4 separate regions of the Mus musculus genome follow, and regions 1, 2 and 4 are each reported to be linked to region 3. Evidence: microRNA targets listed by miRTarBase, many of them from high-throughput screens and not tested one by one. Region 3 holds a microRNA gene; each other region holds the end of a gene's coding sequence.
What was found. The annotated mature microRNA mmu-miR-1298-5p reads UUCAUUCGGCUGUCCAGAUGUA and lies in region 3 at 2,151-2,172, opposite strand. An mRNA with a match to its seed (bases 2 to 7 or 8) in the 3' UTR can be bound and repressed. Matches are read on the target gene's strand: a 7mer-m8 pairs with bases 2 to 8, a 7mer-A1 pairs with bases 2 to 7 and ends in A, and an 8mer does both.

Region 1: miRTarBase lists Gramd1c as a target of mmu-miR-1298-5p. Seed matches in the 3' UTR shown: 7mer-A1 at 5,962-5,968.
Region 2: miRTarBase lists Fermt2 as a target of mmu-miR-1298-5p. Seed matches in the 3' UTR shown: 7mer-m8 at 4,938-4,944.
Region 4: the mRNA of 4930563E22Rik is a reported target of mmu-miR-1298-5p. Seed matches in the 3' UTR shown: 7mer-A1 at 3,696-3,702.

Annotation. Positions count from the first base shown.
Region 1 is chr16:43,975,498-43,982,620 of GRCm38, forward strand. Gramd1c (GRAM domain containing 1C) reads right to left here. Exons shown (of 17, transcript NM_001359085.1): 17 at 4,853-6,641. The coding sequence ends at 6,561. Zdhhc23 (zinc finger, DHHC domain containing 23) reads right to left here and starts at 4,312. Exons shown (of 5, transcript NM_001007460.2): 1 at 3,962-4,312; 2 at 3,411-3,679. The coding sequence starts at 3,553. It overlaps Gm46552 (a long non-coding RNA gene), which reads left to right and starts at 4,376. Exons shown (of 2, transcript XR_001781930.1): 1 at 4,376-4,741.
Region 2 is chr14:45,454,088-45,461,210 of GRCm38, forward strand. Fermt2 (fermitin family member 2) reads right to left here. Exons shown (of 15, transcript NM_146054.3): 15 at 4,705-5,936. The coding sequence ends at 5,763. Among named protein-coding and RNA genes, the nearest start is that of Gm34250, 11 kb to the left of the region's middle.
Region 3 is chrX:147,059,967-147,067,089 of GRCm38, reverse strand. Mir1298 (microRNA 1298) reads right to left here and starts at 2,185; the gene lies at 2,088-2,185. The region is part of intron 2 of Htr2c (5-hydroxytryptamine (serotonin) receptor 2C); the gene reads right to left.
Region 4 is chr11:72,214,635-72,221,757 of GRCm38, reverse strand. It overlaps 4930563E22Rik (RIKEN cDNA 4930563E22 gene), which reads right to left and starts at 6,620. Exons shown (of 1, transcript NM_001163728.1): 1 at 3,308-6,620. The coding sequence starts at 6,427. The coding sequence ends at 6,038. Med31 (mediator complex subunit 31) reads left to right here and starts at 6,166. Exons shown (of 4, transcript NM_026068.2): 1 at 6,166-6,797. The coding sequence starts at 6,770.

The DNA.
Region 1 (7,123 bases), not on the chromosome of region 3:
ACAATAACATAATAACAGTAAAAACAACAACAGTAACAACAACTACTACTTTAGGGCCTAGGTTGATGGCTCAGTTGGCAAAGCACTTGCCATGACAGCAAGAGGGACAAATTCAGATCCTCTGTACTCGTGTGAAAATTTGGACATGGAGCTGGCAAGGTGACTCGGTGGATAAAGGTGCTTGTGACCATGGCTGACGACCTGTGTTCAGTCTTCACGGGCCACCGACTGGCAGGTTGTCCTCTGACCTACACATCAAAGCCACGGAACACACATGCATACTCAGGCACATGCGTTATAAAATAAAAAGGCGTGGGGATATGCACTTAGAGTCTAGTGCTGTGGGGAGTGAGGGGAATAGACAGGGGGATTCCAGGAACTTGCTGGTCAGCTACTCTGGCCAAAATAAAGGAGCTCTAGGCTCACTGAAAGGCTCTGTCTCAAAAAATAAGGCAGAGAAACGATTCAGAAAGTCACTTGACATCAAACACTTTCACCAGGAGCACATATGTGTGTGTGCACAGAAACACACACAATACATATAACACACATACACTGACTTTAAAGAAAAAAAATGTATAACCAAAGGGGAAACATAACTTGAAGACTTGGAAAGTTCTTGGCCTCTGAACCTGTCTTTACAGTAACTGCAAGCCTGTGTGGAGGAGAGCATCTGAGATCAGTATGGATGGGCCCTGGGGTATGCACCAAGACCACAGGAGGATGACCCTTTAAAGCTCTGGGTGTGACTGTGCTCCAGGCAGAAGCCTCCAATGCCAGGTACACAATGGCAGCATGGTTTCACAGAAAATGGCTCAGAACGCCCATGAAACTTCAGGACCCACTCCCTAGTACCACATCAAATCTCTGTTCCCCACATTCCTCGTCCCACAGATACTCCCAGGTGCAATGTAAACTACTGAGGCCTCTACTCCCAAGGGCATCAGCGGTAAATGTGGGTGGCATCATTTGCTCCCAGTTCTACAGCCCCAAAAAATACAAGAGCTGTGGAGGCATTACTCTATCCACGTGGATGTCAAACAATGTCCCAAAGAATGTCAAGGCTGAGGCCAAGAAGTACCACAGAGCCCTCATGAGGGCATTGCCTTGTGTACCAGTGGGTATGGGACCACTGCAGAGAGCCTCACCAGGCAATGCCTAGGAAAGCTGTAGGGGAAGAACTGACCAGGACCCAGGATGGTGGAGCCAGCCACCCACAAGCTCTGTGCAACCACAAGACTCCAATGCATGAGAGCTACAGTAGGAGCAAAGCCATACTTCTAGCTCAGCACTGTGTCTGGAAGGTAGGATATTTGCATCACACATGTCATTTGTCCTGTGGGTATGGGATGTGCCATTCCTTTTCTCATTTCTCTTTCCCACCCTGGGAATGTCTTTCAAAGAATGTCCCACTATTGTGTTTTGAAAGTTCACAGTCTGTTATTTCTTCTTTACTTTTTATTAGTTTATGTGTACAGTGTTTTGCCTACATGTATATACCATGTATCACATGTGTGCCTCGTACCCACTGAGGTCAGAGGACCATGTTGGCTCCCTTGGGACTGGAATTACAGGCAGTTGTAGATTCACGTGGGTGTTGGGAATTGAACCCTGGTCCTCTGCAAGAGCAAGAAGCACTCCTAACCTCTCTACTGCCAACAGCCTGTTAGTCACAGGCCCACAGCTTCATGCAGAGGCCTTCATGAGTTTCACCCATTTCTGATTTACTCGATGCCACCCAGACCACTCTGGAAACTTAAGATGTCTGTGCTGACATTTGAATGATTAAATATTGGAGGTTGTTAGGAGGTACGGGGTATGTTTTTCATGTGAAGACATTCTTTGGAGGGGGCAGAGGTAGACTGCAAATGATCCAATATTAGTGGCTAAAATTCATGTAGTTCAAACCTAACTCTCGGTGCAATCTTATTCAGAGGTGGGGCTCTTGGGAAGTGTGAGGTCAACAGAACACACTGTGGATGAGATTAACATCCACACAAAAGAAGACCAAGAAAGGCAGGGTTTTCATCCATTCTGCTGGGTGGGGATACACTGAGCAGATACCACCCATGAGGAAGAGGGGCCACACTAGATACTAAATCTGCCAGCACTTGGACTTTGGGTTTCTCCACCTTTAGAACCGTAGACAGTCCACTTCCATCACTTGTAATGTACCCACTCTGAAGTATTTTGTTGCAGCAGCCTAAGTGGACTAAGACAGGCGAGAAAGAAAAGGTAGTTTAGGTAAAAATAACTGTAGGCTTTTTTTTTAAAGGCACGACACACCTTAAAGTGAATGGGAGATATCACCTGGAGTCAGAGAGTAGTAGGAGTGGTGGGAACAGGGCAGCCTGTCTCCAGGAAAAAAGATAGGGCAGAGGAGAGAACTCAGGACAGCTCAGGCCCCAAGGGCTAGGAGAGAGGAAGAGTTAGCAAAGTTAGTGGCAAAGCCATGGTCCTTCCTGAATGATGGCCATTATGGAACTGGCATACACTCTCCATTCCTTAGTGCAAAGTGCTCTATTTTCCTCAGGATGGATTTTAGACTAAGTCTCAAGAAGCTATATTTAAGGCTACCTATTTAAAAAGAAATACTATAGAAAGAGACAAGGAACAAAGAGGTAATGGGCTTTACCAGTCAAGAGTGACAGAAGACTGCAGTGGTCCCCATGCAAAGCTGTTCTTGGCCTGATTAACAATCTACAGTCACCATGACTGTGTAGCCAGAAGGGACAATTTCTGGGAAAAGCTTGTCTCCAACATCCCTCTTCCTATCACTTTATGCCTTCCATAAGCAGATGTTTAAAATATATATATTTAGAAAAATGGCTAAAAGCAGTTTATTGCTGCTTGATACAAACTGGTTTTAACAGAGGTTAAAAACTCTCTTTTTAGATAGCAATCTCCATCGCTGAGATTGTGGTAAAAGTAAAGGCCAAAGATAAGACAATATTCCAACCAGGACTGTGTTGCTACACACAGAAAAACAGTCACTCCCCACAAGGTGTACATGGCCTCTCTCTCTGGAAATACAGGGTGAACTGAGAACAGAGAAGCTATCTTTTACCCTTCAAGTTCATGTGACCACGTGAGAACAACCCCATGCATGGGTCCTACTAAGATCACTGAAAATACAGAACTTTCTGGAGTGTCCATTTAAACTTGCAGTGTGTGTGCTGGATTGCGTTCTTATATACATCTAATCTACCCTACTATCCTCCATGATCCTTTAAAATGAAAACTGTTAAAATCCTCACACCTGACAGCAAAAAACCAATCCTCTATTTTAGATCCTTTGGAATAGCAAGAACAAACCTCAGCATTCTGGACGGCAAACCTGAAGGAATATATATACATATGTAGGTCTCAACAGAACCAGTGGGGTCAGCATCTGGAAACTGTAAGCTTACCTGTCACAGCCTTCATCGAGGTCTTGACAATCACACAAACAGGCAGCCACGTGGTTCTTTTCCCCATTTCGATCTATGTATTCGCAACAGCACAGGGGCTCCAATTCAGGTTCTTCGGTTTTCTTTTTTTTGACTGGCTTCATATTGCCCTTTAGTGTACGGATTTGTACCTGTCACCATGAGGCATAAGAAGCTCACAGAAGGTAAAGGTGGCAAGAACTCAACTCACATCCTGTAAACACATCCTTGCTTCTCATTAACGCCAACGCCTGAGCAATAAAAAAATGAAAAGGGGGGAAGGGTCCTGCTTTCATCAGGCTTTTCGGGCTCCGCGTGGCCTGACAGGAGGGTTCCTTGACTTCTGGGGCTCTGAGCACCTTCCCCTCCCCTTCCCAGCTAGGCTAGCAACATCTGGGCACCAGCCGTTCCCATGGCGACAGCCGACCACGCGGCCCGGGACAGCAGAGCTAGGGCGGCCCAGTTCACCTGAGGGTGCCGGCTCAAAGGGCCGGGCTGTCCCCACCCCAAGGCTGCGCGCCGTGGAAACTCACCCTCGCAGGTGCAGGCAGCGACGCCCTGGCGCTGCAACCACCCACCGGCCCGGGGATGCCAGGAGCCCCAGCAGCCCCGAGGTCGCCCGTCCAGCCCACTCCGAACCCGCCGCTCCGAGGGCGTGGGCGGGCCTGGAGAATGACCTTGGCGGGGAAGTTACCTGCCCTCCCGACAGAGGCGGGGACCGGGAGGAGGACCGACTCCCCTGGGCGCGGCTGAGCCTGCGACCCCGCACGGCAGGCTCGGGAGTGCCGGGCGGAGTCGCCCACCTGTGAGCACCGCCGGTGCGCGCGCCTGCCGAGCGAGCCAGTCGCCCCCGGTCGCCGCTCCGCAGGTCGGCGCGCGCTTCCGGGTGCCCCGCCCCCGGCGCCGGGATCCCGCCGCCCGCACGTGCGCCGCCTGCCCACGAGGCCCCTCCCCCGCCGCGCTCCGGCCGGGCCACCTCGCACCTGCGCCGGGGCCCTCGCGGTGCCGCCGGGGTGCGGGATCGGACCCCGGCGCTCGCGCGCCGCCAGAGTTCCGCCGGTCGCCTGCGGTCCTCCAGCGCCGGCAACAGGCGTTGGGGTTCGATCCGCACCTTGGCCGCCTTCAGAGGTGCCACCCCACGAGTCGCCCGCCTTCCCTTGAGGCCCGCTGTGGACCCCAAGCCCGGCTTATCCAACTTGTTCTCGCTCGCGAGTCCTGGAGGATGGAGCTGCTTTCCAGCCAGGCCTCGGTGGTACTTTTGATTCAGTAGTCTGCACATTTGCAATGAAATTGCCCAAGAGAGTCCCCTCTGGGTTTGTATTGCAGCACAAATCTGTAAGAACTATGGGCCTACGTACAGGTTTTCCCTACCCCAGGCTTTCTAGGTTTTGGTTTGGTTTTAAGCAGAAACAGAAGAAAAAACGACAACTTAAACATTTCCGGTTTTATTGAAGTCAATCCATACATAACAGATTAAGATCTCATTAATTCTACGTACATATTTAGTGTTTTATCTACAAAGTGACGTTGGTAATCTTTGAGGTATATGGTGAAGTGCTTTAAGAGAAACCACAAAAGCATTCACTTTGACAGTTAACATTTTTCTAAATTTAACAATCTGAAGTTTCTAATCCAGTCACTCAAACTCACAGCCAGAGACTTCCTATGTTCTTATCACAAACAAAACAGAACAGAACAGAACAGAACAAAACAAAGCAGAACAGAACAGAACAGAACAGAAGGTATTACTCCGAAGCCCCCTGCCCCAGGGAGATTAGTTAGGATTCATGAAGAGAAACCCTTCCCTTTAGCCAGTATTTTTATTCCCTACAGGCGTCTCAAAAACATTGTTAGCAATGACATTTGGCTTTGGTGACACTGAGGGAAAGGAAACATTGACTAAAGGCAATGGATATTCAATAAAAATAAATATATGTGCGTGTTCTAGAAAGACAGCTAGAGAACAAAACAATAAATACGTCCTGAACATTTCCTAAATCCCGGGGGACGCAGCTAATTTCAAGTCAAGTCGCCAAGTCCTTATTTTCACAAACCACTGGTGCTGACACAAGTGCCTGAGTGGTTTTCCCGAGAGCCCAAGCTTGCGCCTCTCAACTCCGGTCAGCTTGCATGCCCCCCAGTCTTTATTGCTGAGTGCAAGTTTGTGTCCAGCTTATAATTTGCCAGCAAGACAAGTTAGCTGCTACTGAAAAGTGATTAATTATTTTCTACCTGATGGGCCACCTCTATCATGGGTGTTGCTAAGCTGAATCTAAGCATTACTCATGGACTCAATTTGATCTGTCATGGAATGCCCAGATTTTATAATAATCTTACGACTTCTAAAACTGAAAGTAGTTCATTATGAGCATTGATGTCCTATATACTTCCTTCTCCTAAATTACTGTTCAGTCTTTTTGATATATAAAGGATAATCTCACCTTTGGTACTTATACGTACATACATATATGCACACACATATGTATATATATGTACATGTATATATGTGTGTATATATATACATATATATCCCTTCATTCAGATACAACATGGCCAATGACTCTTTCGGACATACAAAAGGTCTGACCATTGGCCTTGAGGCCAAGTCAAGGAAGGCACTGTAAAATTTAAAGATACAAGCCTGGAATGTATGCACTTGGAAAACGATCCTTTAAGGTGATAAATGATTGAGGGGTTTCTTCTTACCTTTTTAGGCTCTTAAACTCAGTTACAAACGCAGCCCCCCACCCCCACCCTGGGCACACAGGGACTCTGTGCTAACATAAATTTAAAGGATCAAGTAGCAAGCCTCACTATAGAAGAATAGCCATCCTACCCACAGTGCCTTCCTTCCCCTTTTGTGTCACAGAATTTCAATTCCAAAATATATTTCATGGTTCACTGGAGAAATTCACAGCTTAAAAGTATCTATAAGAAGTGAAAAGATAGAGTCTTAAGGCTATTGGAGAGTAGTCATTGAGTAAATGTTATTTAAATACAGCTTTCCTGGTAGAAATCCTGGTAATAAAAATATCAGAAATGTCCTTATGACAGTGACAGTCTTCATCCTCCGATTCCTTCCAGATGTTGCCTTCTAGGTCCAGATGTCTCTTTGGTTTCCACATTTCAGCACTAGCTCTCCACAGCCACCCCAGACTTGTTCTTATTTAGTAAATCAAAGGTTTTTTGAAGCATAATGAGTGAGCTCTTCAGCTGCAAACAAAATGATCAAGAATCAGACTTCAATTTTTGCCAATTACTTTACTCCAAAAGATATATGAGTATATGTATAAACATATAATGTATGTATTTGATTCAAACATCTATGATAGATAGATAGATAGATAGATAGAAAGATAGATAGATATAGATATAGATATAGACATAGATATAGATATAGATATAGATATAGATATAGATATGCTCAAATAAATTAGATCATCAATCCCTGATTCTCCAGTATGTGCTATATGAATTCTAGAGAGTTCTTACCAGGTACTAAGGGCCATATAGCCTTCCATGCAATGTACTTCCCAGGAAGCCTCTCTCATTATCCAGAGGGAAAGACTTGTTTTCTTAGACCTTCCTCAAGTCTCAGTAGTGTTTCCATTCTTCTCTGAACACATCGAGCCCCACAACTGAGCCATGTCTTCCTAATCCCCTCAAGATTCTCTTCCCAGTTCTGAAACGTACCT
Region 2 (7,123 bases), not on the chromosome of region 3:
TTAAAGATTCTCTTGGCAGCAGAGGCCAGAATTGGGGACCAGGTATCCAGGAGCAGTGTGGCTGCTGCTGAGACCACTCCCTCCCCCTGGCCTTCAGTGACTTAGTACCACTGTTACACATGGGACATTAGCACCCAAAATGGTCTCTCAGTAGTTTGGAGGTTGTCCAAATGGTGTAGTAGGGTGAAGTGCTTGCCACATGAGCCTAACAGCCTCAGTTAGATCCTGAAATCCAGGTAAGGGAGGAGGGGGAGGAGGAGGGGGAGGAGGAGCTTCATGTGCTTGCTCCTGCCTCCTCAATAATAATAAAAATTTCAAAGCACAGCCTGCCCACTACAATGACAAATATTTGCCATTTTTCACTGTTTCAAGCCCTCCATGTTTAAAAGCGAGTTGTATTTTCTGCAAGGTGGAACCTGTCATTCTTCATTCTACTGTTCCGTGTGTTTGTTTACAAGTCTTTGCTGCTTTAGGTAGTGAGCTGTCTTTTTTTTTTTTTTTTTTTAATCATTTTTAGTTCAGTGCTAGATATTGCCCACAGGACTCTGCGGTGGGACGTGGTGCGGGAAGTGGGGAAGGCTCCTGGGTAGCTCACACTGACTAGCCTTGAACTCACTAACACAGGCTGGTCTTGAACACTTCAGATCCTGCTCCCTCCCTCCCTGGTGCCAGAATTACATACAGGTTTCCCAGCCCTTTTGACTTTTTGCCCCGAGGTCTAACTAATTTGCTCATTGTGATTCTCCTGCTTTAGCTTCTTGAGCAGATGGGATTACAGACCTGTGCCACCACAGGGCCCTGCATGCCCTAGAACCTGTTTCCTGGTGGGCACGAGGACACACTTAAGTTTCTCCACATCCACGGTGGAATTGAGAGGGCCTAAAATGCACAGGATGGCAACAACCGTTTCTGGGGACGCTATAGTTTATAATTGCACCGATAAACATCCTGTTACCCCAGTAACGCTTTACTCTGTCAGATCTTAACCATTTTACTAGTACCACAGGCAAGAGACTACTTTAAAATTGGTGGCTGGGATGTAGCTCAGCAGCAGAGCATGTGTCTAATACACGAGGACCTCTGGGTTGGTTCTGTCCTCTGCACTTCACATACAAAGCGCCCATTTTCCAGAATCCTGTGCAGATGGACAGCTTTTCACTTCAGGCTTCCTTTCCTCCCTTGTGAAATGAGTACCTTAAGGGTTTGTGCATTTCCTCTGGATTGGCCTGTGTGAGCACAGACAGGTGTGCACATCTGTTTATAGTCTCGGTTCTCTTGTCCAGCCAATTATATGATGCAAATACCTTCTCCACATTTTCTGCTCTGTTGATTGATTTGAGAAAAGGCTTGGCTTTGTATAAGCTTGGCATCTTCCGGCCTCTCCAGTCAATGCTCTCCTCTTCCAGCTTTGATTTGCTGTCCACTCAATACTTCCTGCACTGTGTTGTCTCACAGACAGTGACACGTAGGACACATAGGCCAGGATTCTTTAACTCGGATCACAGGAGCATTTTTCCAACTTCAGTCCTTGGTCCACCTGGAATTGATTTCGATGACTGCATAGCTAGACGAGGCTGTGGCCCAAGCTCTTTGGGGAACTCTTTTGTGATGATCTCAGAAACAAGTAGCTGTCCCTACACCCTTGGTTCCAGTCTCTTTTGACTGCAGTGTTTCCATCATCTCTGCCAATGTCGTGCTGTTTGTGGGATGTTTGTTTGTTTTTTGAGGCAGGCTCTCACTATGTAGCCTTGGAACTCACTATTGTCAACCAGGCTGGCCTCTGTGTGCTAGGGTCCAAGGCATGCCAGGTGTGCACCACGACCCCACACTTTCTGTGTTTGAAACTTTAAAGTTCCGATACAAGCTGGGCGGGGTTATTCTGGGATTCTCATGCTCGTGTTTTCTGCTTTGTTCACACTCCTCTCACCCACTGTCCTATTTGGCAAAGCTGATTCCCTCGGCTGCTTGTTATTTCTCAGGAGCATTTTGACTCTTCCAAGTGTTCTGAGCACTGAGTCTGTAACTAGGCAAAAAGCTGAGAGGCTGTGTAGCTACCAGTAGGATTCGGAGTCTGTGTTTTCACTCGATTTTAGAAAGCCGGACATTAGAATTCTGTGCTCAGAATGTTTTCCTATCATGCATTTGCCACATTGATTCAGACATGGCTTCAAAGTTGTTTGGCTCACTGTGCTGTTTGTAATCATAAATGTAATTAACATTGAGCCTGGTCCAGTTCCCGGGGCAGTATTGTGGATAATGCCTGAGCAGCAAAGCCACAGGAGACTATAATTAGATCTCATGAAATAATGGTCTCAAATTATTTTTAAGTGCTTGTAATTTTTAGTAATACTTAGGCCAAAGCACAAACAACAGAAGGGACACTGAACAGGGAGCGACTCTACTAAGAGGAAGGGATATTTGACATCTATATGCTTATCCTGGGAAACTTGATTTTGCTTAATTAAATGTAGTGGAGGAATGGCACAGTGGGAAATCAGGTCACTAGATAAGCCTCTGACTTCTGTTTCCTGTTCTGGGTGGCTCTGCAGTCCACTGAGAATCTCCCTGCCCTTCCCCTGATTTCCCATTTCCTGTTAGTTTTCTCTCCCACCTCCCCCATTCTTGAGCTGCCAAACCACATCAGTTTGAACAGATAAAGAAAGCCTCCGTTAATTTGCTGAACAGCTCTGAGCTCCTGGGAAGGGAAGGGGAGGGGAGGTGAGGGGAGGGGAGGGGAGGTGAGGGGAGGGGAGGGAAGGGGAGGGGAGGGGAGGGGAGGGGAGGGGAGGGGAGGGGAGGGGAGGGGAGGGGAGGGGAGGGGAGGGGAGGGGAGGGGAGGGGAGGGGAGGGCGGGCGGGCTTCCTGAATTGCTGTGTAAAGGGCCCCAGTGGTTCTTCTGCAGGGTAAAAACTGGATCCATTTCTATTATCCCAGACTTTTAGGCCTATGCCTATAGCCTCCGTGCTGCGGCTATATGGCCAGAAAGGGGCACTGGCACAGTGGCCACAGGGCATGGCAAGGATCTGAGCCGGTTCCGGACAGGCAGTTCCGATACACGCTGGCATAAAGCAAAGGCGCAGATCTGGAAGGCTGTCAGGCTAGGGATGGTCCCATGTGTCAAGTGACTTGGATACAGATATAGTACAGAGACGCTGAAAAAACTGGTTTGCTACTGTGTTCACTACTGCTAGTGTTGACTTTAAAATACAGAGCATTGGTGTCTTTCAGCTAAGGGCCAAGAACCCAGGCTGGCCTCATTCTTCTTTATCACTACTGATTTCAAAACCTTTTAATAAGGCACAAATCGCAACTAGACAACACAGAACAGAACAGTCTGCCCTGTCTTTGCCGCTTGAATGTATGACATTGGAGAGATAAGAATGGAAAATGTTGTACCGGGCGTGGTGGCGAACGCCTTTAATCCCAGCACTTGGGAGGCAGAGGCAGAGGCAGGCGGATTTCTGAGTTCGAGGCCAGCCTGGTCTACAAAGTGGGTTCCAGGACAGCCAGGGCTACACAGAGAAACCATGTCTCGAAAAAACCAAAACCAAAAAAACCAAAAACCAAAAGAATGGAAAATATCTCTCAAGGTTACAAAGAAAACTAGTTTATGTGGAGTTGGCAATACTACACCAGAAGCTTCTAACAGGCCACTAGCCTGCTGCCTGAGAAGAACAACATTTGGATGGAGTTTGGTTAATATCCTGTTCCCATGCCCTTGTGAACAATCACAGGGAACAGAAACTCGAATGCAGGTTCTGGGAGTCCTAGACAGTGTTCTTGCAAAACGCTTTCTTGATAGAGGCTGCTGGCGACAGGTGTGAGGGTTACCAAGGCTTGCTTCCCATATGACTGGACAGAGGTGCGAAGCCAGGTCACAGTCTAGCTTTGCCTTGGTTCCCATTAAATGCAGCCATCTGTTCAGAGAAGGCAGAGTCTGCTTGGCTGCAAGGAAACTTAGAAGTATTTATGGAAGAACAGCTATAAACTAAAATTTCTAAAGGGAGACATAGATTTGGACAGAGGACAGGGTATAGGGCTAGTAAATAATATGGCAATGGGATGAATGGCTAGACCAGCAGTTCTCAACCTGTGGGTCCTGACCCCCCTCTCACAGGGGATGCCTAAGACTACGGGAAAATACAGATGTTTATATTATTATTCATAGCAGTAGAACACTACAGTTATGAAGCAGCAAAGAAAATAATTTTATGGTTGGGGATAACATGAGGAACTGTATTGCAGCATTAGGAAGGTTGAGAACCACTGGCCTAGAGAATGTGGCTGTCCAGACTGCTTAAGGACAAATGGGCCCCAGGGAGATGCCCCAGCTCAGAGGACCTGGAGCCTGAGCTTCTGTAGCACAGGGCACAGTCATCAGAGCTTTAGGTAACCAGGGCAGTGCTACACCAGGGCTCAGCAGGCAGGGCAAGCAGTGGTGGTGGGAGACAGAAGAGGTGAGCAGAGCTGGGTTTTTAGAAGCTGTCTTGGCCTCACAGGCACGGGACTGACAGAGGTGGCAGCCAGGCCCATGATGAAAGTCTGGAGTCTAACTGAATAACCACAAAGGTCTCTCAATGCCGGAGAAAGGATGTCTCCTAGAGAGAGAGAGCTCTTCATCTGGGACATGGCCTAGCACTGGCGGGCTGTTCTAATAACACACAGTGTTGGGAGAGTTGAGAGAGATCAGAAGTACAAAAGAAAACATTAAATAAAAGGTTTTACTTTTATTTAAAATAAAATGCATTTATACAGTCTTTAATTCATGGATTATTGGACAATACTGGTAAGTCCACCCCTCCCTGGCGCCCTTCTGGGCTCGTGAGCTAGGAATTGTCTAACTAGCACCAACGCAGATGTAATAGCGCAACAGACTAGAACACAGCCGGTCCAGGCTGTAGTTAAGGGCATCACGGCAAGTCACGAGCATCATGAAGTCATTCGTAATTTAGCAGATACTGAAACTGCAAATTAATTATATATTTTAAAAGCACTTAATTAATGTAAGGATGCTACATTTAAGCCATTTCCTAGTTGTGAATAGTTTTTTTTAAAAAAAACTGTACAATTTTATAAAATTTGTGTTTGTACATTAGTTACACAAAATGAATACTTCATAGATCTTTACTTCATATTGTAACACAAAGGCTGCATATCTTAGGCAGATAGTGAGTATGCTGGTGAATACTAAGAGTACTGTAATACAGTTTGGTGTAAAACTAAACACAAAACAATGTACAGCATGCTTACTCAAAGACAAAACCCACCCAATAACAACAGGTTAGCAGTGTTTCCTTCAAGGTCAACAGCATCAACAAATACCAAGCATCCACTGTAGACCGACTTTATACTGGGAGAGGGGATTAACTGGGTACCAGGAGCAGGGTACTTTAAAAGAAGGCATCAATTAAACACAAACACATGCATTACACATGATAAATAGACTTCATATAGGTTATATGTATGCCCTGGGTGGCTTGGTAGATGGCTTGTTTCTTAGTTTGGTTACTGTCAGTCAGTGACAGCTTTCCGTGGCCCTAAGGACTGTTGGGAATTCCACAGTCCACATACGGCATATCAAGGTAGGCAGCAGATTAACAATCGTGCTTGTTAGTGCACATATGTACTGGTCTGGTAAGGCAAAAAGGTATCATGATAAAATAATAAAGTTCAAGCTTACTTTATTAAGCAGCATATAAGAAACAATAGCTTTAAAGTTAAATATTGTTATGGCTGTGGAGTTTTATTACAAGTTTTCCTATTCACACCCAACCACTGGTGAGTTTGTAGAACATCTCCTCATCTAAACTTTCATTTTGGTCTTTCGCACGAGTTGAGAGAAATATGTAACCACCAATGAATTCGTGGACCACCTTGCAGTCTACTTCGGTACAGATGAAGGACAACCGGACCTCATCTGCAAACTCTACAGTGACCTGGAGCAAAGACAAAGAACTGTCAGTTCCCCGGAAGCTTCCGGACTTTAAGTTATGGTACTCCACCCCGCAGGGACGTGGGAACAGCCATCATGTCAGTGATGTCATAGGTCTAAACAGTAAGAAAAGTGTATCATCCCCACATCCCTTTCGTTTGCAAGTTCTCAAGGCGTTTACGTCGTTAAGGTCCCGAGTGGTCTCTAGTGATGCAATTAATGAGAATGGCCCTCTTTAGGTCCTGGGAGAAAACTTACTTCTTGAGTCTTATTTAACATTCGCTTCAATATGTAGTCTTTAGGTATCAAGCTTAAATATTTCAGAACGATGTGTATTTCTTTTTTTTTTTAAAGATTTATTTATTTATTATATGTAAGTACACTGTAGCTGTCTTCAGACACACCAGAAGAGGGCGTCAGATTTCGTTACGGATGGTTGTGAGCCACCATGTGGTTGCTGGGATTTGAACTCCGGACCTTTGGAAGAGCAGTCGGGTACTCTTACCCACTGAGCCATCTCACCAGCCCCCGATGTGTATTTCTGATAGCAGCTGAATACAGTGTATCCAATATATGCCAAGCAAAATCGCCTGCCAGTGAGCCGGTTTTATATGATCACAATGTAACAAAGAAAAGGGCACCAAGCTACATAGTGGGATGCGCACCAGGTTTTACAGACCCTGCTGCGGCAGTCATCAAGTGTGTGGGCGTGGACACTAAGCAGCCCTTAGGCTTCTAAGTGGGAGCGTCCTCATTTGTGAAGTCCAGGCAACCTGCCTGCTTTAGAAGGCTGAGGTGAGGCATAGAGGCCAGTGTAAGTGCAAACGTCTAGTGTCATGTCTGACCCCATAGAGGAGGCACAGGACATAACCTCTGACTGCTGTTTCGAGAAGCTGTTACAGAAAGATATCCTTAAGTATGGATGGTAAGTTCAAGTGAGAAATGAGTAACCAACCACATGGTCTGCACTTTAAAGATTATTTTTTACTATCCATATTTTTAGAGAGTCTTCTGTATTTTGTAGCCCAGGCTATTCTCTCTCTCTCTCTCTCTCTCTCTCTCTCTCTCTCTCTCTCTCTCTCTCTCTGTATATATATGTATACATACACACACACACATACACACACATATATATATACATACATATGTATGTATGTATTTTACGAGTACATGTGTTGTGTCTGCATGTAT
Region 3 (7,123 bases):
TCCTTTCAAATTTAAATGTTTACTATAGCAATTTTGTAATAAAGCACTCTTCATTCAAAAAATTCATGTTTGCTATGAATAGTAACATGATGTCATTCTTTATGATTTGGTGGAAAAACTTCAGAGACAACAATCAATTGAAACCCTTTCCTACCAGTGAACCCAGGAGCTTCAGTTATGGTAAGTTCATTTAGAAATGCATTCTATGAATTTAAATGAAACCAAATACGCCATTTTAAATTTTAAGGTCTTAACTTATTCTACAAGCTTGAATTCACAGAACTTCTGAGACTAAAAAATTATAAGGGTTCAAATAATTTAGTTCCTTGTCTTCAGGCAGGTCTATATTTAAGTCACTTTGACAAGTTTGACAGTTGATGTTCTTTAGAACAACTTTCATCAGAGGTAATTTCAAAACCCTCCCTTGTACAGCAGTCTGCTCTTTTAGGAAATGTTATTTTACACCAGGCAAAAGCACCCCAGGCTAATAGACATCAGTGGAAATGAAAACTCCCACAATACATAAGGAGGGGAATCTACACCTCAGGCTCAAGACAGTTATTGTATCTTTGCTAGGCTTGCCTTGGAATGCACTGCTTCAAACCTAAAATTAGATGCTTCCCTAGACTGTGACAAAAAGGAGAGAGGACACTTCTGACACTATAGTCATATATGCTGGAGGATTTTGTAATTTCTCTTTTTTAAAACAGGTGGTAACATTCGGAGAATGGTACCTGAGGCCTTTTCTGGACATTTCATTAGATCTCATAACACCAATATGATTATTTAATTTGAAAACAGTTGTTACCAATGTTTACACTTCCCCATTCTTCTCTTCAGAAAATACTAAGGAGTATTGAGGCATATAGAACTTTCCCTCTTGTACTTTGACTGCAAATGAAATATTTTCTTTATTTGTGTTTTCAAAATTCTTCTGCTTGGTATAAGTTATGGGAGGTTTGTCGTTTGTTTTGTGATGCTGGGACGGCATAGTCCTCATGTGGGAGCAACAACCTTAGGACCACATGAAAACAGTTTTTGTTAAATCTAAAAAATGCAAAAAAAAAAAAAAAAACCCAACCAACCAACCAACTAACCAACCAACCAACCAACCAACCAACCAAATAATACAGTGAACTCCTCAAATCAACAGCATTTAAGGTAGTAAGTTTTCCATAGCAAAATTTATTCCACTCGCCTAAAATAATATTCCAAAAATAGTTCCTAAATTAATAGAACTGAAGTTGCTGATGCAAATCATTCCACAGTTGTAATAACAAACATTAAGGGAATCTGTCTTAGTGGGCAGCATGCCCAGCAATTTGAAGCTGTTTCTCCATAGGTGGTAGGAGAATTCTGCCTAAATTATCTCAGCCTAAGTATCCTTATAGCAAAATAAACAATAACAACCAAAAACAACAACAAAAAACTTGTAAAGAGCAGTACTAAGGGGGAAACCATATGTTAATGTATGTGTTGGAGATAAATTCCTACTGACTTGCAAGACTGAGAACTGTACAACCAAATTTCTTTGTGTTCAAACATTTGTTGATTTCCTTTTATATGCTAGGCTCTCAGCCAGATGCTGTACACAGCGTGGAAAACAAGGCAAAAAAAAAGGCCCTGCACACACAGAGCTTACATTCCAACTCAACAAACAAGCAATAAGCCATGTCAGGAGTGGATCATTGCTGTGAATGAGAGAGAATTGCATAAGATAAGGAATAATGGAAGGAAATAGAGCAGATTTATAGCTGTATGTATTCATAGGCTGTCCTAGTGTTACTTATCACAAGTACAGTTATTTTACACTGGCAATATAGGCAATTGACAAGTATCACTGGTGACAATACTTTTTTGTTTGTTTGTTTTACACACTTGAAACAATTCATTCCCTTTAGTTTTGTCAAAGTACATACTACAGTCCAGCATAGCTGTATACAAAAATGCATTTCCCCCTTAGCTTTACAATGATGCCCCCTTACTGACAGGCAGCACTTGCTCCCTGGGTCTCATTTGATTAATAAATTACACAGTTTGGGCTGTCAAGCAGGCCTTGAATGTTGCAGATGCTCCAGTTGAGTCAAGAGAAGCGAAAAGTTCAATCAGTTGCCCAGATGTATGTATTGCCAAATAACAGGGTACTTGGGTACATCTGGACAGCCGAATGAACTCTTAACCCCTCATCTCTCCAACACTTCTTCAGTTTGCCAGCTTTTGATACTCCTGGATAAAGAGGGAAAGAAGTAAACAAAAACCACTACTTTGGCATTGAAAGATTGATTAGTCTTTCAAGTTTGAGAGTTTCACAGCAAGAAAAAGCAATCTCTGCCACCAGTGTATAACACATTACTAGAAAGTGTGTTTAAATCACCAACAAACAACAATATCTACACAGAAAGGCTCATGCTAAACATTAACAATGTATGACAAGTACAGAAAACGCAATGGGCAAATTGAATTTGCATAATTTACATTTAAAAATATGTTTTATAACATAGCACACTGGGTACTAGATGCTGTGGTTTCAGACTTGATTCTGTTACTCTATTGAAGTGTAGCTTAGAATAAATCATCAAATTTATTTGAATCCAGTGCATCCCCCATTTTATTATGAAGTTGAAATAGAAAATTACAGGTAGATACTTCTTGCCATTGCCAGCTCAATGTGAAACATGAAATACACATAAATGTGCCTCTTGATTTAAAAGGAGTTTGAGAGTGATCTGGGAGATATTTTCATCACACAGCCCATCTATTCTGCAAGTCAATGTGCATGCAGTCTTTAACATCTATTTTTTTCTTCTTTCTTAGACTGAAGATTTAGGAGATCACATACAATTATTAAAAACATTAAGACAAAGTTTACTATTCATAATTTTCTGACTTGAAAGATTCTGTGACTAAAATAATCACAGAAAAGTGCATTTTAAGCAGTATTGCCTGGTAGTGTAGCATTCTAAAACCCATGTTCCATTTTATTATCTTAAAGTTCAGCGAGGGTAGTGGTTCTCAACCTGTAGGCTTTGACTTTTTGGGGGGAAGGGGTCAAACAACTTTTTTCCAGGGCTTGGCTAAGACTACCAGAAAACACAGCTGTTTACATTATGATTCATAACAGTAGAAAAATTACCATTATGAAATAGCAATGGAATTATTGTACTGGTGGAGGACAGACGAGCATGCGGAGCTGGATTAAAGAGTAGCAGCATTAGGACGGCCGAGGAACACTGTTGAGAGGTACCAAATCTGTTACTGCTTTGGGGACTTTTCTACTATTTTGGTGATTTGTTGGACAATTTTGAAGATATTCTTATTTCTTGCATCAGGTCCATAATCTTTGCAATATATGTTGTCAACATTTAGAGACACAGATATGCCTATTTTATAACTTCCCTGTCTGTGTTTGAAGTTAACATTTCAAGTAACTTATAATACATATATAATCACCTTAAAATTTCTCTAAACAGTTTCATAGAGAATTCTGTAAATTATTCTTCCCTGTACCACACAGTATACAAATACAGTATGCCAAGAAGTTTAGAACAATATAAACACTAATCCTGTTGTTTATGATTTCAGTGAGTAATAGTCTATGTACCCATGCCTGTGTCTGTGTGTTGCAGGTGGTGAACAAAATAAATGTAATTTAAATGCACATTTTTAAAATCACTACCCTCCAAAGCTCCATAGTCTCATAAGGTGAGACCATGTCATGATGTCCGAAAGCCATCAAATGATTGCATATGTTTGATCATCGTTTTCAAATGGAAGAACTGACTTGCCTAACATTAAAACCCATGTAAAAGAGTTATAATTGAATATCTTGGAAAGTGGTCCCATTTGTGAAATAACAGCATCTTCATAACAGAAGCACCTGCTTTTAATTTTTTTGAATTATATATCTTTTTTTTTTATTTACGTGAGTACACTGTAGCTGTCTTCAGACACACCAGAAGAGGGCATAGGATCCCTTTAAAAATGGCTATGAGCTACCATGTCGTTGCTGGGAATTGAACTCAGGACCTCTGGAAGAGCAGTCAGTTTTCTTAACTGCTGAGCCATCTCTCCAGCCCACCTGCTTTTACATTTCATTGAAAGATTATTCTACATAAAGCCAAATCATGATTTTTCTAGGCACTCAAATGCAGCAGAGATGTGGTTTGCTGTTACACAGATTCATAGTCTAATACAGACTAACTGGAGGTAAGTTTGTTAAAATATTAACATATCCTGCAGTTTGGTTTAATGATAATTTTTTAAAGCAAAAGAAAACAACTTTAATATGGCTTTGCGAAGCTCTTTGAGCACATTTAGAAATGGACCACCAACCAGGCAGCATACACCAGCTGATATGAGACCCTCAACACATATACAGCAGATGACTGCCAGGTCTGGGTTCAGTCAGAGAAGATGCACCTAACCCTCAATAGAATGGAGGCCCCAGGGAGTTTAGAGGTCTGATTAGGTTGGGGGTGGGGGTGGGGTGGGGACATCCTTGTGGAGACAGGGGCAAGGGGAGGAGGTATGGGATGTGGAACAGTTGGAGGGTGGACAGGGAGGGGGAAATAAAATCTAGTGTATAAATAAATAAATAAATAAATAAACAAACATAAAAAAAAGATTGCTAGGCATGCTGCAGACATGCTAACATGGAAAAGGAAAGTGTCATGGGGACTTAGGCCTAGACAAAGAATGAAAGGATACTAAGGAATGTTTACACTCAGAAAAATGATTTTTTTCTCTACTAACAGTTTACTTGATACCAAGTGGTCAGGCCTGAAAGCACACAAGTAACAGTATATGAATTTATCTAGCTGTGTGTATGCATGTATGTATGTATGCATGATGTATTTAATATATGAACAACATAACAAAAAAGAGGCCATGAATTTGAGAGGGAGTAAAGGGGAAGAAGAACATGGGATGGGTTGGAGAGAAGAAAGGTAAAGAAATAAACAATGAAAATATTTTAGTTTTGGAAAAAAAACAATTGCTGCGTGTGACAATTACACAGCAGTTTTATAAGAATATACTCAGAATTTTAGAATTGTATGATGTCATAGTGTGAAATTATTTAACAAAAAATGAGAAATAAATAGATTATTAAACTGGTATAGAATCCTAATAGTTACTTTCTGTGATATGGGGACATAGAAAATTATTTGACTTTTATCCACACTATTATATATGTTTTTGAAATTTTTTCAAAAGAAAATATATGTTCAAATGAGATGTAATCTCAGGTTGTATCCTAAAAGTACTGTTTCTTAAAATTTTTTAAAAAATCATTATTTTATTCTTAATCTAAGTTTTTATTTCTTAATACCTTCACATGCCAAGGGTTCTGTTGTTACAAACAAAAGGAAACAAGGCAAAAATATTATTTTGCCGGGGACTGAACCACCAATCAAAGAGTAGACATTGAGCGACTATGGCTTCAGCTGCAAATGTAGCAGAGGATGACCTTGTCTGTCATAAATGGGAGGAGAGAACCTTGGACCTGTGAAAACTTGATGTCCCAGTGTAGGGGAATGCCAGGGTGTTGTGGTGGGAGTGGATGGGTGGGTGGGGGAGCAACCTCATAAAAGTGGCAGGAGGAGAGATGGGATCAGGGTTCCTGGGAGAGGGGACCTGGGAAAAGGAATAACATTTGAAATGTAAATAAATAGAATAATCATTACAAAAAAAAAAAACAGCTGTCATGATAATATCTTGAGAAGTTATTCTTAGATGACTGACATGTCTAATATCAACATATTAGACTCTTGAGGGTGCCACCTTTTCCACTTAACAGCAGTATCTGATTGCTTAAGGTCTTTTGTTTAAGCTCTCCAGGGAAGTACAGTAACAACGGAAGGTCATTATCTTTTATAGGTTTGGGGCGTTTTGTTGTTGATTAGGTTTTGTTCTGTTTTGTTTTTGAGAAAGAACTTAATGTTAGGTGGATAGGGAGTAGGAGAGGATCTGGAAGGACTTAGGGAAGGGGAAGAGCATTATCAAAATATAGTCAAATTTAAAAATTGTTTTAAATAATACAAATATAATTTTAAAATCAAATAAGGTTATTAATGTGTTAAGGTCAGCCATTGAGTATATTTTATTTAAAAAAAACTTAGGTTAAAATCTCAAAGGAAAATAGTATTATCATAAAATAAAATTTAACATCATGAAGTCTGATTTGCTTACATCTGTACTGAACTGAGTTTGAAATAAATACTATTTCCTTGTTACTTAAGTGAGATGTATTCCTACACACACTAACTTGTGCAAACAGTTTTTCAGTCAGGAATTAATTACATCATGAAAATAAATGGCTCATACAAGAAGAAATTATTTCTTTTAGATGTGTGGTGTTTATTGCAGGATGTGTATGTGTGGCATGGTGTGTCTATATAGTGTGTGTTACATGTACACGTTTGCATGTTTGTGCACAAAGAGTGGGGTTATAGACATGAGAAGCCATTTGGTTTTTGACCTGGGTGCTGTCATCTGAACATAGCCAGTTCTTCAACCTCAAGAGAACTTTTCTTACAGTGAAAAAATATATATATAAGAGCAAAATCCTAGCTTTTCCATCGCTTGTGCACCACTGATACACACTTTGGTCACTTACATCTGCATATTGAACTACCTCAGAACCACCCTGAGCTGCAATCCACATCTTTTAGCAATCCAGTCAGGATAAGAGTCAGCAAATAACCAGCGGTTTGTTAAGTTAACACATACTTTCCAACTGATGGCCTTTAGTGCTTTTTGGGTATTTTGATCTTATTGTCTCCTGGAAACAATGCAGTTAAAGTATATTTCTGATCCAAACGTCTGCCATTATCCTTTAAGTACAAATTCCTGTAATAATTCCCTGTCTCGTCAGTGTTTTCAAGAAGACACTTAGTGCTAAGTAGGAAGAAAGGGAGTGAAAACCCCCTCTATATATATTTGCTTAGCATCACCTTAGTCATACAATGTTTCCTTAGAGACAAAAGGCATAATCAGTGACCAGCCATGCCTTATTATACAAAGAAATAGGAGTAATTAAAAGAGACAGACTTTTAATTAACATTTTTAACACTACGATGGAAAAATACCCCATTGTCTGCTAATGACCCATTGTTAAGTGCTA
Region 4 (7,123 bases), not on the chromosome of region 3:
GATGAGGAGCAGAGACTGGGATGACTACAGCTGAGAAACTCAGAAGGACCCTACAGAGCATAAACTGCAGACTCTGAGAACAGATGACCGGCTGCTGCTGGTGTTCTGAGGTTAGGTTTAACAAAACGAATTCCTCAAACAGAAAACTGACAAGTGTACTCAGCTACTAAGGGAAGGGAACTGCAGCAGCCAGGGTGAAGTGTGGTTGGTTCTGAGAGTTCACAGCATAGGAGGCACAACGGAGACAGCAGGCAGGAAGAAGCTACTCTGGTCTTCTAGAGAGAATGCGCCCCCTGGTGGCTAAATGGCAGAGCCACGCGTAGCAAAGCAGAAATTGAGGTTTGCAGCCAAGGGGTAAACTCTAACTGGTACATTGATAATCAGCACTTATATTTAAGCTCACACACCCTCCTAATCTTTTTGTACTTAACTATTTCTCACAGAAGAAAATGATATTACCATCTCCTCAAAAAGAAACAATGAGCCAGGCAAGTACATATATATGTAATCCTGGCATGCAGAGAGCAGAGACAAGATCAAGAGATCAAGGCCAGACTGGGCTATAGTGGGGGCTCTGCTCTGAAAATGAGAGAGAGCAGGTCAATATAGTAATTGTGTCCATGGCAGAGACTGTGTGATATGTTCTATTTCTGCACTATGATAGCTACCATAACGATCTGCTTACCACCTGAATATCCTGTTACCTAGAAAGAAAACGGTAATGTTAGTTTCCAGGACAAGCTATGTTAAATAATAAGGAAGACTTAAGGCAGAGGGGAATATCAGGCTTCTCTCTGGCTTGTTATGAGTATGAAAGTAACATAAGCTATGTGGTTGCCCTTGTTTACTGCCCAGAGAGAGGTTTCAGTGTGAGCACTGGGGAGGAGGGAGCTGTGGCAGAGTCCTCTCACGGTCCTGAGTTAAGGAGGGGTAACTGAAGGATGGAGAGCTGAAAACAGGGCCTCATCTAGAAAGAGAACTTCAGAGACTGCACAGGTGTCTACTGAGCATTCGGCTGAGCACTGACCACTGCACGTGCTAGGGCAGGAAACTGAGAACAAGGCTTGTCCCCCTAGCCAACACCTAACTTAGGGATATCCAGAGAAGACAGACCCAGCTTTTGTCTCAGAGAACATTAACTGTTCACTTAAAACTGATCTGGACTCACAGAACAGATTTAAAGTAGATATAAAGGACAAACTGCTTGCAAATAACTTGTGACTAATGCAAAGTTCAAGAATTATAAAAATGCCGGGCGTGGTGGCGCATGCCTTTAATCCTAGCACTCAGGAGGCAGAGGCAGGTAGATTTCTGAGTTCAAGGCCAGCCTGGTCTACAAAGTGAGTTCCAGGGCAGCCAGGGATACACAATGAAACCCTGTCTCGAAAAACAAAACAAGAACAAACAAACAAACAAAAAAAGAATTATAAAAATATGAAAACTAAACAACACTCAAAAAAAGTTAAAATTTACTATGCCTTGCATACAAATATCAATAACCAGGCATGAAAAGTAACAACCACAAAATACAACTCATAATGAGAAGAAAAATCAATTAATAGGCAATGTCCCAGAGATTGTACAGATGATAGGATTAAATAAAAATAAACAAAATCATTATTAAAACAAAATTATATATGTTAAAAGTAATGGCAGGGCAGGCCAAACATGCCAAAAAGATATAAGGAATTTGTGGAGGAATTTGTTTATGTGTGGAGGATATTTTAAAAGATTGAAGTTGAACTATGAGAGATAAAAATGTTTTAAGTGAAATTAAAAGAAATTTAAAACCATACATGGTATTTATGATAGGCTATAGATTATAGAAAAAACATTAGTATAAACATGAAGACAAAAACAACACAAAATATCCAGTGAAATATGAAGAGGAACAGAAGAACATCAGCTTCCCATGGCTTATCAGACCCACGATTTACACCCAGAGAGGGGCAGGGAAAAACAGTGGAAGGAATAATGGCCTCCAAATTTTATGAATTTTATGAAGACTATAGAGTCAAAGTTTCTAAGAGTGTAAGCAACCCCAAATATAGGACAAAGGAAAGAAATGACACCAAGGTTATTATTATACCAGGGTGCTCCACCAACAGTACAGAGCACACCTTGACAGAGGCCATGGACACCTTGGTGTGGAGGAACACAGGCGAGGCTGCTGCCACTGCTGCTGTGGGAACCAATGCAAATCAGGAGAGTCTGAGCAATGTCCTAAATGTGTCAAAGAGGGGAAGCAGACTTCCTAGCCTGTAAGCATGTGCTTCACATGTTCTCCTCCACAGCATCAGTGAGAGGAAAGGCCCGAGCGGTGACCACCAAGCACTGGTCAACGTCATGCTAAAGGCAAAGTAGCAAAGCCACTGCCAAGAACCTAGAGGACCACTGAAGACCCAAAAGACACTCCCGAGCTGGGAAGCCACTTGTAGAAATGCGCCTGCCTCTGCCTCCCAAGTGCCGGGATTAAAGGCCTGCGCCACCACGCCTGGCGGGACAGGTTTTCTGTTTTGTTTATTTCTGTTGTTTGTTTTTTTTACAGTTATGCAATTCTAAGCATTGATTATGGTGCCATCCAGGCCTTGGATATAAGCATTAGCTTTCTTAGGATGAGATCAATAGAACAAAGGAGGGAACAGGAATTCTGTAAAATCTAGAAAAAGATGTGAGAAAAACACCTCGTTAATTGAATTTCTGGTTCTTCCCATGGCCTGCTTAGTCTGGGGAAAGAGGATCCTGTCAATGCAAGCCTTAAAAATTTTTTAAATTAAATGTATGTTTAATGTTATATATTGATTTACTATATTTAAAATTGTATAGTATATACTTTTATGTCTATTATAAATTATTATGTATTATATATTAAACTATATAAAATATTATACACACATTGATATATGTGTGGAGGTCAGAGGACAACTTTTGGGAGTCTGGTCTCTCCTTCTACCATGTGAATTCCTGAAATCAAATTCAAGTTATCAGTTTCGGGGGCAGGCACTGTTACATTCCGAGCCAACTCAGTGGCCTTGCCCCTTTTTTATTTTTTATTTCTCTCTCTTTTGCTTTATTTTTCGAGATAGGATCTTGTTATGTAGTTTTGACTAGTCTGGTACTTTTTATACAGTCATATAGTCCTGGCTGGCCTTAAACTCATAGCAATCCTCCTGCATCAGCCTCTCCTAGTCCTGGGATTTCAGGTGTGCATCACCACACCCAGCCATTTCTTTTGAACGCAATAGGCAGTAAATATTATACACCACTCCCAGGTAATATATGAAAAAGTATGAGAATAAGAAGTGACTTCTTTACAAGAACTTACATTTATTTAGTTTTTTTTTTTTAAACTAACCTGGCTGACACAGCTGAAGGCAAGACACAACTATTACCCAGCACAATAAATCCAATTATTAGACTGTGCCATTAAAGGCTTTCTCGACTGCAAATGGAGAATATTACTCTTCATTTATTATTGTTGCACATGCTGTCTTTAACACTGTGTAACACATGCCAGGTACAGCAGCTCTATTTCCTACAGAGAACGATGAGGAAGACACACAGCATGGCTAACAGTAACACACACATTTACAAAGTACAATGGGTACATCAACAATTACCTTCATTGATGTACACTGTCATTTTGAAGCTGTGGAATGTATAATATAGATTTATGGCAAAGGTGTTTCATTACATTCATTCTCTCTCTCTCTCTCTCTCTCTCTCTCTCTCTCTCTCTCTCTTGGAACATGAATAAGTGAAATATGGAGGAAGAATCCTAGATAAAAATAAGACCAGGACCACAGGGAATCTACCAGGATCCTTCCCACGCCCTTCCTGAAGCATCAACGATCCAGAAGCAGGCGCCTGGCTTTCCCAGAGTCACATTCAGCCAGTCTTCCAAATACTACTAAAAGAGGAAACAGAAGCAGTCACTAATGGAGAAAGGTCTGGACAGACAAACACATCTCTGACATTATTTCCAGGCTAGTAATGGACAGGAAATATAATATCGTATTAACTGTTATGTTGATTTATTTTGTTACATTAGACACATACCACTTTTGCAACAAGAAGATAATGAGGAACACAAAGAGAAGCAACTGCTTTGTTTGTTTTTTTATCTGTTTATTTAAGGCACAGTTGGCCATATTAAAAAGAATTAGTAAACTGGAAAAAACTGACAATTCTTTGCTATTAGCTAATTCTTTGATACTAGCAGTTCTGTGAGGCAGACAGGCATTCAGGTAGCCTTGGGGTAGTGATGGTAGTTATAACATCAACATCTTTAGCAGTTATGACATTTCTTCTGACCTGCGCCCCCATTCTGCGGGGACAGTCCAGTACACTCCCTGGGACTAAATTAGTGCCTGGAAGTAGTAAGTGCTCTGACTCATGAGGAGTCCTGCAGAATCAGCATCTGCAGCCTTCTGTTCTAGTGGCAAGTAGCACATGCATTATTAAAGCAGGCTAGAGAGAGGGTTCCTTACAGAGCAACACATCCTCTTCCTCTGAGAACGCTTGCTTTTGTTCCTCACCGGAAGATGCTCTGAACACACTTCCATGACTGTCTTTCAGGCTTTTCCGCAATTCTGCTATGCAGAAGTCAGGGGTTTGCTTAGTGCACCACCCTCTAGCAAAGTTGCTAGAAACCTCAATGTTTCTCAACTTCACCAATGACTTGCCTTTCTCAGCACAGCGATTCTTTGTTGGAGGAGGGACAGGGTGTTGACCTGGGCACCATAAGATGTTAGCAGCATCCCTGGCTACTAGGCACTTGAGGCAAGCAGGAGCACCTTCCACGCTGCCCCAAACACACACACTTCTGGAGACAAAATCATTCCCAACTCGGTTACCAATGCAACTTCGATGGAGAGGTAGTTCTAAACTGTAAACTGCAATACGCACTTTGCTCCCTTGCACTAAATTCTTTTGATGATCTCAGAATAAAATTCAAGCTCTTTACTGTAATCCCAGAAGATTTCCAAGACTCTATATGAAGTGGCATCTTCCTCCTTTTTGTTTTCTTCCTTATACCACGCTCTCATATACTAACTGATCTTTCTCTTACATAAACATCTTTGATTTTTAAAAAAAATGTAGACTTTCCCTTCTGTCTAGAATGCACTTCCCTCTAGATCCTGATATGGCTCACTGTCCACTCACACAAATCTCGGACCAAATGTAATCAGCAAGGCTTTCCCTGACCATATTCTCTAAAGAGTTCCCTACTCTCTACCACAAGACAGACAGCCTTTCCTTCGCGGGAATACAACAGCATGTTGTCTTACTTTCCCCTTTGTTGCATGTCTCTTCATTAGAGGAAGATCCTAGTCTTTTCCACTGCTCTAGCTGCCATGCTCTAACTACTACCTAGCATGCAGTAATACTCAGTTACCATCCTGTCAATCTCACGCCTCAGGCCAAGTGTCATGGCTTCTTCTTTACTTTCCCTTCCAAGATTATTAATGGTTTTATTGATTGTTTATTAATTGTCCTGTTTTTTCCTATACCCCCTGATTTAATTTTTTAAGTGTGGGTGGAATACTATGTATGACAACATGAGAAAATGTATAATGAAATATAAGTATTAATAAAGGCCAATTAATAATGTATGAAAGATGATACCTTGCCCTGTAGGTTTCAAGCAGGTATATGATCAGGCCAGCGGTCAAGAATCATGACAAGTTTGGCCCCTCTTTGCAAATTTCAAGTCGTCAACACATCCTAGAGTGACCTAAGACTATAAAACTTACCTGGTGTAGAGACTCAAAGAATCTCATTGTCCATCAGCCAGGTTTATACTGCACTACCAGTCTGAAACCTTCTGTGCTGGCTTCAAGTTAATAGCACACTGGGGTCAACAACAGGATGGTCTAAGGTGCTGCAATGTCAATACATGTTAACAGCCCCCAGAAACCACAGCCTGTTTCTTACACTGATTTATGGGTTCTTTCCATGAAACCAAAGATGCTCGGTTCTCCTGGAAGATGGCTGGCTGGCAACTCTTCAGTCCTGGCTAAGGACCTTTGGCACTTCATCGAGCCATTCTGGCACTCTGCCTGGCTGGGCTCTCAACACGGTGCACAGTAGTCTCCACCCTCAGGGATGACGACGCCCTGACGTGGCGGGAGGACGTTTCCGTGCACTGCGAGGAGGTTTCCACGTGCTGGGAGGACACCTCAAGGAACTGAGGGAGTCGCTTCGTGGAGGGGGTGAGGGAGGGCCCCTCTCGGTGGCGCTGGGAGGTCTCCACCTGCCGGGAAGACGTTCGAACCTGCCGGGAGGACGTCTCCACGCGGTGGGATGACGTTTCCTCGCGGTGGGACGACGTCTCCACGCGGACAGTCGATGTCTCCTTGTGGCGGGTGCTTTCCACTCGCGGGGCGGAGGACTTGCTCCTAAGGGGCGAGGCCATCCTGCCCATACACCTTGGTCAGGTGGGACAAAGAGGCCCAAGGATCATGCTCTGCGTCACGTCACACAGGGAAAGGTGACGTCAGGGTGGTGTATTACGTCGGGGTAGGTAGCAGGACTCTGAGACCTAAAAAATGAGAAGTCCTCCGGCACGCCCCGCTCGATATCTGCGCGCGCAGCCGGCCGGGTCTGCACAGATAGGTGGGGCTAATTTTCCCATAAGTGAGGTTGTCCCCGCCCTCGTGTCCCACTCTGCCCCGCGACCGGAAGTAGGAGCCGTGGCTTCCGGATTCTCACCAATCGAAGTCGCGGTTCGGTCGGGGCTGGTGGTGTTCGCCTCACTCTGATTGTTATGGCCGCGGCCGTCGCTATGGAGACAGGTACGTTGTGACTTGCACCCCGAGTCTTCACCCCAAGGGAATGGTCCTACGCCCCGAAATTCCCTCCCTTTTCCCTTTTCCTGCGCTGTCTTTCGGGTTCAACTTGGCATCCTTAGAGTTGGGACCGGCGGAGGAGAAGGCTGTGCTGCTTCTCAGACTATGGTCTGTGAAAACATCTTTGCTCCTGGGTTGCTCAAACCCCTACTCCAACCCTGGCTCTTGGGGCCGTGCAGGGCCGTGGGAGAGGACTGAGACCTTCCACTGTCTGTGCTGAAGGTACTCCCAAGAACTTGCCCGAAATATCGATAACCTGTGTATTCTAATGC